Bombyx mori: one gene and its partner. The protein of the gene in region 1 binds, or shares a complex with, the protein of each later gene. Links are inferred from orthologs where the notes say so. Each region holds a gene or a part of one and is shown on either strand. Other genes may lie near its edges.

Evidence for each region.
Region 2: ragulator complex protein LAMTOR5 (region 1) and roadblock domain-containing protein 3 share a complex: the UniProt entries of both Homo sapiens proteins name them as parts of the ragulator complex. The link is inferred for Bombyx mori from reciprocal best matches to the Homo sapiens genes LAMTOR5 and LAMTOR2.

What each region holds. Positions count from the first base shown.
Region 1 is NC_085110.1:1,233,010-1,237,341, forward strand, and holds ragulator complex protein LAMTOR5, read left to right. Parts: upstream 1-1,429; 5' UTR 1,430-1,534; coding exon 1,535-1,807; 3' UTR 1,808-1,810; intron 1,811-2,696; exon of another isoform or gene 2,697-3,157; 3' UTR 3,158-4,279; downstream 4,280-4,332. UniProt on the Homo sapiens protein: As part of the Ragulator complex it is involved in amino acid sensing and activation of mTORC1, a signaling complex promoting cell growth in response to growth factors, energy levels, and amino acids.
Region 2 is NC_085123.1:7,142,689-7,146,560, forward strand, and holds roadblock domain-containing protein 3, read right to left. Parts: upstream 2,358-3,872; 5' UTR 2,276-2,357; exon of another isoform or gene 2,275-2,275; intron 1,775-2,274; 5' UTR 1,687-1,774; coding exon 1,619-1,686; intron 1,542-1,618; coding exon 1,232-1,541; 3' UTR 523-1,231; downstream 1-522. UniProt on the Homo sapiens protein: As part of the Ragulator complex it is involved in amino acid sensing and activation of mTORC1, a signaling complex promoting cell growth in response to growth factors, energy levels, and amino acids.

The sequences.
Region 1 (4,332 bases):
TCTTGGGGATTTGCCAATCTAGGAAGTGGCGCAAGCGGGTGTTGAGAATGTACAGTAGAACTTTGCTGCAATGTGAGACAAGGGCTAGCGTGCGGTTATTGTCGCACTTCCTAGTTGACCCTTTTTTATGAAGCGGCAAAATGATCAACTCAGTCCAGTTATTGGGCCACTCGCCATGTTGCCATACGTAATTGCAGATGCTATGCACTGCATTCACACCCCTATCTCCCAGCGATTTAATTATTTCTGCCGTGATGTGATCCGGTCCTGGAGCTTTATTGCTCTTTAGTCGAGAGATGGCTTCTGTTACTTCTGATCGTATTATTGAAGGTTCTAAGGTTATGTCGTCCCAGACTGGGAGTTGTGTACTCATTGACTGAGGCTGATCATATAATCCTTCACAGTATTTACGCCACATTTCGACAACGGCATTTAAATCAGTGATAGGCTTGCCATTGGGATCTTCAATTATCCAGGATCTTGGTTTAAATTTCCGAGACAAAAGGCGAACTTTCTTGAACAAATAAGACGGTTGGTATTTTTGTGAATGTTTTTCGATATCAGTGTAAATGTCTCCAATGAAACAGCTTTTATCTCGGCGGCACGCTTTTTTAATTTCCTTGCAAAGGTCAGAATAAGTCTTCCTGACGTCATCATTCTGTAATCCCTTCACTTTGATGTCTTTCCTCTTGCTTATAAGCTTCTCTTGTTTGCTCCGAAATCCATACTTTGGTTTTTTTTCCGATTTGCATTTCCCTCTCTGCGGGAAGCCTTGATTTCTTCAAGGGATTCGCAGAGATGAGATTTTACGGTATCCCATTGAGTGTTAGCATCGCCTGTAGGAGGTTCTAGGGCTAGTTTTTTCTCCACGGCATCGCATAAGTATGTCCTTTCTTCCGGTTCCAGTGCACGTGGTCCTCTGATGGTTCTACTGCTGGCAGTTTTGTGTCGTAATGTAAATCTTTATGGTCAATTTTTAAAAAAACTACTACCAATTGAATAAGAACTGTCTGATGAATTCATCTTTGTTTAATACTTCACTATTAAATTTTATTGACTTTTGTTTATTTTACTTTTACACTAAACACTAAATATTGCAAATTACCCGAGCACAACAATGGCGGAGAATTTTAGATGCGTGAGAGCAGACGTAGACAGACGTAGACGCATGCACACTTAACCCAGGGAGAAAAAGTTACACTTTCTTTCCTGTACAGCAGGAGGAAAAGTTACACTTTCTTCCCTGTATAGCGGGACGAAAACCGAACTTTCGGCGTCGGTAGGAGAAAAAATTTATTTTCAATTATTTGTACCATTTCGCTATCGTAACACAAACACGGCTCAGTCTAACAAAAAACTTAGTTCTATACACGGCTTTATTTGCTTGTCCAACTAGACTTTAAAAAAATACATCTGTCAGTGCTGATGCTATGTCAAAAGTCAACAAAGAATCTTTTGTTTTGTTTCCAAAAGACAGTCGACAGTCGACTTTGACCGTGTTTTTTATAAATTAATATAAATTTGTTTAATAAAAATGGAAAACGATCTAGACAAAGTCGTAGAAGAAATCATGTCTATGCCTAATGTCAATGGCTGTCTTATCGCGGACCCACAAGGACTATGCTTGGCATCAAAAGGCGCCGCGCACGTAGACTCTGCAGGGATAATCGTTGCCATATCAGAACAGGCCTGTAAAATACAACCGAACATGAAACCGCCCACAGTTTGCCTTGAAACTGATAAAAAACAGTGCCTCATACAACGACATGGCACGATCACCGGAGCGATTTTTAAATTGAAAACATAGAAGGTACTTGTATATTTTATTTATTTATTGAAAATGTAATAATTGTTTATCATGATATGTATGAACGGCCTTGAACTTAAATGAACTCTTTGCTGTTACTTCACAACATAGTTTTCTATGGAACATGAAATTACTTGTAAGTTATGACATAAGTGAAATGTAATAACAATATTTTAATGTACAGGTAGCTAGCCCTACTATAACACGGTATTTTACAACACGATTCCACACTAACACGAAAAGATAAATTCCCCAAAACCTTATAATGAGATTTTTGTTATATAGAAAATTACATTACGCACTATGAACACACAAGTTATGGGAGTAACTGAAACTTTACTGCTTCATCATCATCATCATCATCAGCCCATCATCAGTCCACTGCTGGACATAGGCCTCTCCCAATCCACACCGAGGGTATTTTTTATTTTTATATAATATCATATATTATATAAAAACTTCTATTATTATTCTATTATTTTTTCTATTATTATTAATCTATACTAATATTATAAAGAGGAAAGATTTGTTTGTTTGTTTGTTTCGAATAGGCTCCGAAACTACTGGACCGATTTGAAAAATTCTTTTTCCATTAGAAGCCGACATTGTCCCTGATGAACATAGGCTACTTTTTTTTATTTTTTTTTATTTTTTTTTTTGGTTTCTGTGTGTTTTAATGTTTCCGAAGCGAAGCGAGGGCGGGTCGCTAGTAATGATTATAATGCAAGTTCTTGAAAATAAATCCATTCATGAAAAGAATAATAAGGATGAAGTCTCAAGATGGTGGGTGATAGCATTCACATACTCACATACATTATTCACACATACATTATTAGTAATTATTTAAGTTTCATTTACAGTTAAATAAAGTTTATTATTTGTTTTTCAGTAAAATAAAATTTAAAACAACATTGAACTATTCTGGTAAGCAAGCTATCCAGAAGATCGTGTATTATTCAGCCAAAAGTATGTTAACTTAACATCTCTCAGGAGGTTATGTCTAGTGATAGGAAATAAATTAAAATTATTATTTACTTTTAACTGACCCCCAAAATAACATAAATTTGAATACTTCTTTATCTAGATTTTAATTTCAAAATTTATCTAAAGTATTACCTACCAATCATAAAATGTAAAACCACATAAACATTGTATAATGTTATTTTAAAGAGAATAAATATTAACAGCTAAATTATTGTAATGGCTTACCACCATACTAAGTAAAAGTTTAACAATTATGATTAACATAATATTGTATTCCAAGTATAAGTTTTTCGTAACCACATAAATTCTCTAGTTTCTTCATGTAATAATAATAATGACTGGTTTTTTAATTTGCTTGTTTATTAGCTTTGCCTGTATGCATTGGAATCTTTGAACATTATTTCAACCCACCTCGAAACATTATATAATTGAAATTTAGCACACTTATAAAGGACCGCCCAGAATAATAGAATAATATAATAAGAGTATCCCATTGGACTGACCAGGATCTTCAGGATTATTCTCAAATAATATATAACATAGTATGTTTTTCTTTGGTTTTTGAGTTGTAAACATAATTTAAGTACTTTTACTGTTTAATCTTGCATTAATTATTTTTTGTTATAAGTTAAGTTGCTTTAGTTAACTAAATGATTGTTTAAATTAAAAACTTTCTTTTTCAGCTCGCTAAAAAATACTAAAAAGTAAAAAATATTTGTTAGATGTGGAAAGTTTGTTCTTATAGGATCATAATTTCGTTCTTATTTTAAAAGTTTTAATATAAAAATTAAGTTTAAGTAAGGAAAAGTATGGGGAGTGGTTCTACTGTAAGAAAATATTATTAATGATCATTTTGGTAGTTTTTCAATTACAGCACAAGAGCGCATTATGCAGCATAATGCTCAACGTTGAATGTTCCAACTACAGCAACGCTTCGCACAATCGAGCACTCTCAAAAGTACTGCTGATACTCGCAATCGGTACCAACTCAGTGACAGAATAAATTGACAAGTGTTTTTTCTTTAAGTTGGCATTGATCGAAATTTTGTTTATATTATCGTTAGTAATATTATTTAATGTTGAAAAAAAATGTAAGGCTTTCGTTTCGTCGTAGTTTCTTAGAAATAATCAATATTAAATAAAACTGTGCTAACTTAGCGCACTCTGCTGATGCATTTGAAAACTAATTGACTTTCCAATTAATCTTCAGCATAATTTGGCATTGTGCTTCACTGAGTCGCATTATGCTCTGTAATTGGAAAACTACCTATAACACTTATCATTTAGTTATGGACTATTTATTGTAAGATTTGATGTTAGGCACCCTACACTTTATTAACTTAAATGTTCCACAGGACAAACAGTTACTTAGACTGTGGATAGCCTTTTAAAAGACTATAGAAACGAAACAATTATTTTAATGTTAAGTATCTCTTGTTATTTTATATATGAGGTTTACAAATATTATAATATATGGTTTATGTGAAATGATTATTATTTTCCTAGTACGAGGCAAGAAAACAAGAACATCAATATACACA
Region 2 (3,872 bases), on another chromosome or scaffold:
AGTATATATTAAGAATATTTTAATATTTAACGGCCGTCTGGTGTAGTGGTAAGTGACATGGTCACTACACAAGGGGGTCGCGGGTTCGAATCCCGCCAAGGGAAGATATTTGTATGATAAATATAAATGTCTTTTCCAGGGTTATGGATGTGTATTAAGTATATGTATGTGTATAATAAAAATCTTACATTTATTTCCGTTATCTGGTACCTGTAACACAAGTTCTTTACGAACTTATCACGGGACCAGTTAACGTGGCGTGATAGTTAGTAAATATTTATTTATTTATTTATTTATAAGCTAATGATCAGACGAGACTGCTTGTAACAAGGGAATATTTGTACTGGAATTCCTGGTAAGAAACAATTAACAAATTTCGATTTTTTATATATAAACCATCTATCTATCCTAGGTTACAATGATACAATGTGCATATGAGGAGCAACTGTATGATTTACATAAAGGATACTCCTGGCTATGCTCAGCTCTATGCTGTCACTATTAAACATTCAATACAAACTTAAAGAAGAATAGATTTATACTGGGTCATCATTAATTGTGATACTACAAAATATTCTGATTAAAGTTTATAAAATATTAATGACTAAATGTACATCAACTTATAGGGGTTTTAGCATTAACCATTTAGTTGAACTTTACTTTTTCTATTTTGTTCCACTATCAAATTGACAAAGAAGCCATGCAAACTGACATATGGACATGTTAATTAGATTTACAGTAGTAACAATGTCTGACATTAAAATGAAAAGACATTTTTACAGTACATTAATTTTTCCAATATTAATATATTGTATATATTATCTACCCATGCAGGTTCCACCATACTGACAGTTATTATGAAAATCTATTAATTTTGAATGTTTTATTTTATTTCTAAGCTTTTTTTTAATGTGAAAGTTTATTGTGAACCTAGATATTTAATAATATGTTTATACCTGTCCCAGAAAATACAGCATAGTTGCATAGCACACGTATATGAGGCATCTTAACTATTATTATTCAAATGAATCCATTAAGCTACTATCTCAGTAAATCCTTTTATTATCAAACATGGCATACAAATCAGGAATCAAATTTGCAATTATCATGTTTTATATAATAGCTATAAAATTTAAAGATTCAAATAACTGAATAAAGTATTTTAGTAACCAAGTAAAGTATTTTAGTGACTTCTCATATTATTTTGCTCATAATTATTTAAAATTACATATTATGAACTTGCAACTTGCTTCAAAGGACCTTCTAGATACTGAGCAATAGCATTGATTTTTTCTTTCAGAATGCCAAAACCAACAGCCTCATTCGCATAAAGACACAGTAATAAATTGGCAACTTGTGTGATTGCAATTTTCCCATTTAAACAATCTACTAGTATTAAATGTAGTCCATCTTCTTTAAAAACATTTCTGCCGTGTTTTTCATAAGCTGACCAGACATTACTAGCGATTGCAGCAGTGACTCTAGCATCCTTATCATTGTAACCAGAATAAGCTAGAAGTGCACCTTGATGATTCAACAACCTAAAATCAAGAAGCACCTGTAATTTTGATGTTTAGTGTCTAATAAAATATGTAACCAAACTAAATGTTTTCATTACAAAGTGTTTTCTACTCCTCCTGTATTAGCTTGACTTAAAACTTCTGTTAATGCTTTCGGTTTTAGCATTTTGAAGGCTTGGTGCTGTTGGATTTACATGAAAATGGCTAAGTACGAAGTTAAACTTGAATCGTTTTCAAGTGTTGATTTGTTATTATTTTTTTTTTTTTTTTTTTTTTTTTTTTATTGCCTTTGTAGGCAGACGGGCATACGGCCCACCTGATGGTGAGTGGTTACCGTCGCCCATGGACTTCAGCAATGCCAGGGGCAGAGCCAAGCCGCTGCCTACCGCTTAATACTCTCCACAAGCCTCGTTTGAAGAAGGACATGTCATAGCGCTCGGGAAACACCGAGGAGGGGAGCTCATTCCATAGCCGGATGGTACGTGGCAAAAAAGATCTCTGGAAACGCACTGTGGATGACCGCAGTGGCTCCAGGTAGTATGGATGAACTCTACTCCGGTGGCGGGCGGTGCGATGGTAAAAACGAGATGTTGGTATCATCTCGAACAATTCCTCAGAGCACTCCCCATGGAACATACGGTATAAAATACAGAGGGAACCGAAGTCCCTCCGCAGACCCAGAGGCTCCAAACGATCCGAGAGAATGGGATTATCGACAATCCGAACGGCCCTCCTCTGTATGGAGTCAAATGGAACTTAATTTTCGACGTCAACGATCTTAAATTTTTAGGATAATTTCTATTTTCCACTTTTACGTAGGATTTGACAACTATCAAAATACCGTCGCCGTCAAATATATTAAGAGTATAATCTATGGTCGCCGTCCGTGTCTCAATGTGTGTATTATCTATGCATCCGTGACAATCCGTGTAATCCACTGAACTTGAACTTTTTGGCGGGAACGCGAGGAGTGAAGTTGTGTGATTTGTTTTATTTTGTCTATTTAGTGTTTCTTCGGGTTTAAATATTTATTATAATTAATTAAGCAAATTACCACCCTTAAGTTGGCCCCTCTTATTGGATATCTTTATTTTTATCGCTCAGATTAGTTAGTTTTTATCAATTATCGTTTGTTCAACGACTATTGGTAATTGTTCGATCATAAAAACAATTAAATTCCCAATTATTAATTATTTTATATCTAATAAGCAAACCATCACCTCACGCCTACATTGCGCATGCGCCGGTTTTGTCAGTCAGCTGGCAATGGCCCTATTTACTAGCGTTTTGTTAACAAGTGCGTTTTAAATTAGATATACTCTATAGAGTATATCTAATTTATTGCCCTTGTAGGCAGACGAGCATACGGCCCACCTGATGGTGAGTGGTTACCGTCGCCCATGGACTTCAGCAATGCCAGGGGCAGAGCCAAGCCGCTGCCTACCGTTTAATACTCTCCACAAGCCTCGTTTGAAGAAGGACATAATATTAAGGGATCATATCTCTTATAAGGTTTGGCACTCTTTAATACGTACACGCGAGGCATATCTAAAAATAGAAAACAATACGTAACTGATAATATAAATATTTACCAAATAATAAAACAACACATTGATAAGTTTGAATAAAAGTTCTAGACAAAAACATCATGAATAAACCAGATTTTTACCAACAAATTTAAAAAATATTGTTTTAACTACATAGACAACCCTACAAACCTGTACCTATTTGTACTTAGGTCGTTTCCGTTTCTCTTATTCTCATCCCAATTGACCCCTATTTCGTTGTTATTTGTACCTAAGACGTCCCCAATATCCCCAAAAACAACAGATTTTTACATGTATTTTTATTTTATCAAATACATTAAATCCAATAATAACTGAGACTTACCTTTAATATATATGATGGTTCAAACACTAAATAACGTTTATAAATCACAGTCGTCTTCTATTATAATCAAATAAATAAAAGAGAGCAAAGTTTCTAGCACTGAAATAATTACCACCACAGAAAGTTAATTTGAAACGCGATTTTTTATAAGTTAGCAGCTATTATCATGCATATTCAGAGTTGTTTTGTGAACTTTCAACATTCTACTATTAAACTACAAAAAATGGAAGATTTTGCAATGAATATAAAACTAATATTGAGCGTCGAAAGAGTTTCCTGTTTTTTTCCCAATTCGCCTCTCAATCCCTAATCGCCCCATTTTACGGTACTTAATTTCAATAGTAGTTTGATGTCACTTCCGTTGCATACCTACGTGACGTTCTGTAAAAATTTTACCTCCATGCGCCTAAAGAAGTTTCACTTCAAAAATTATTTCAAATGGGACAGCCGCTTAGGAGGAGT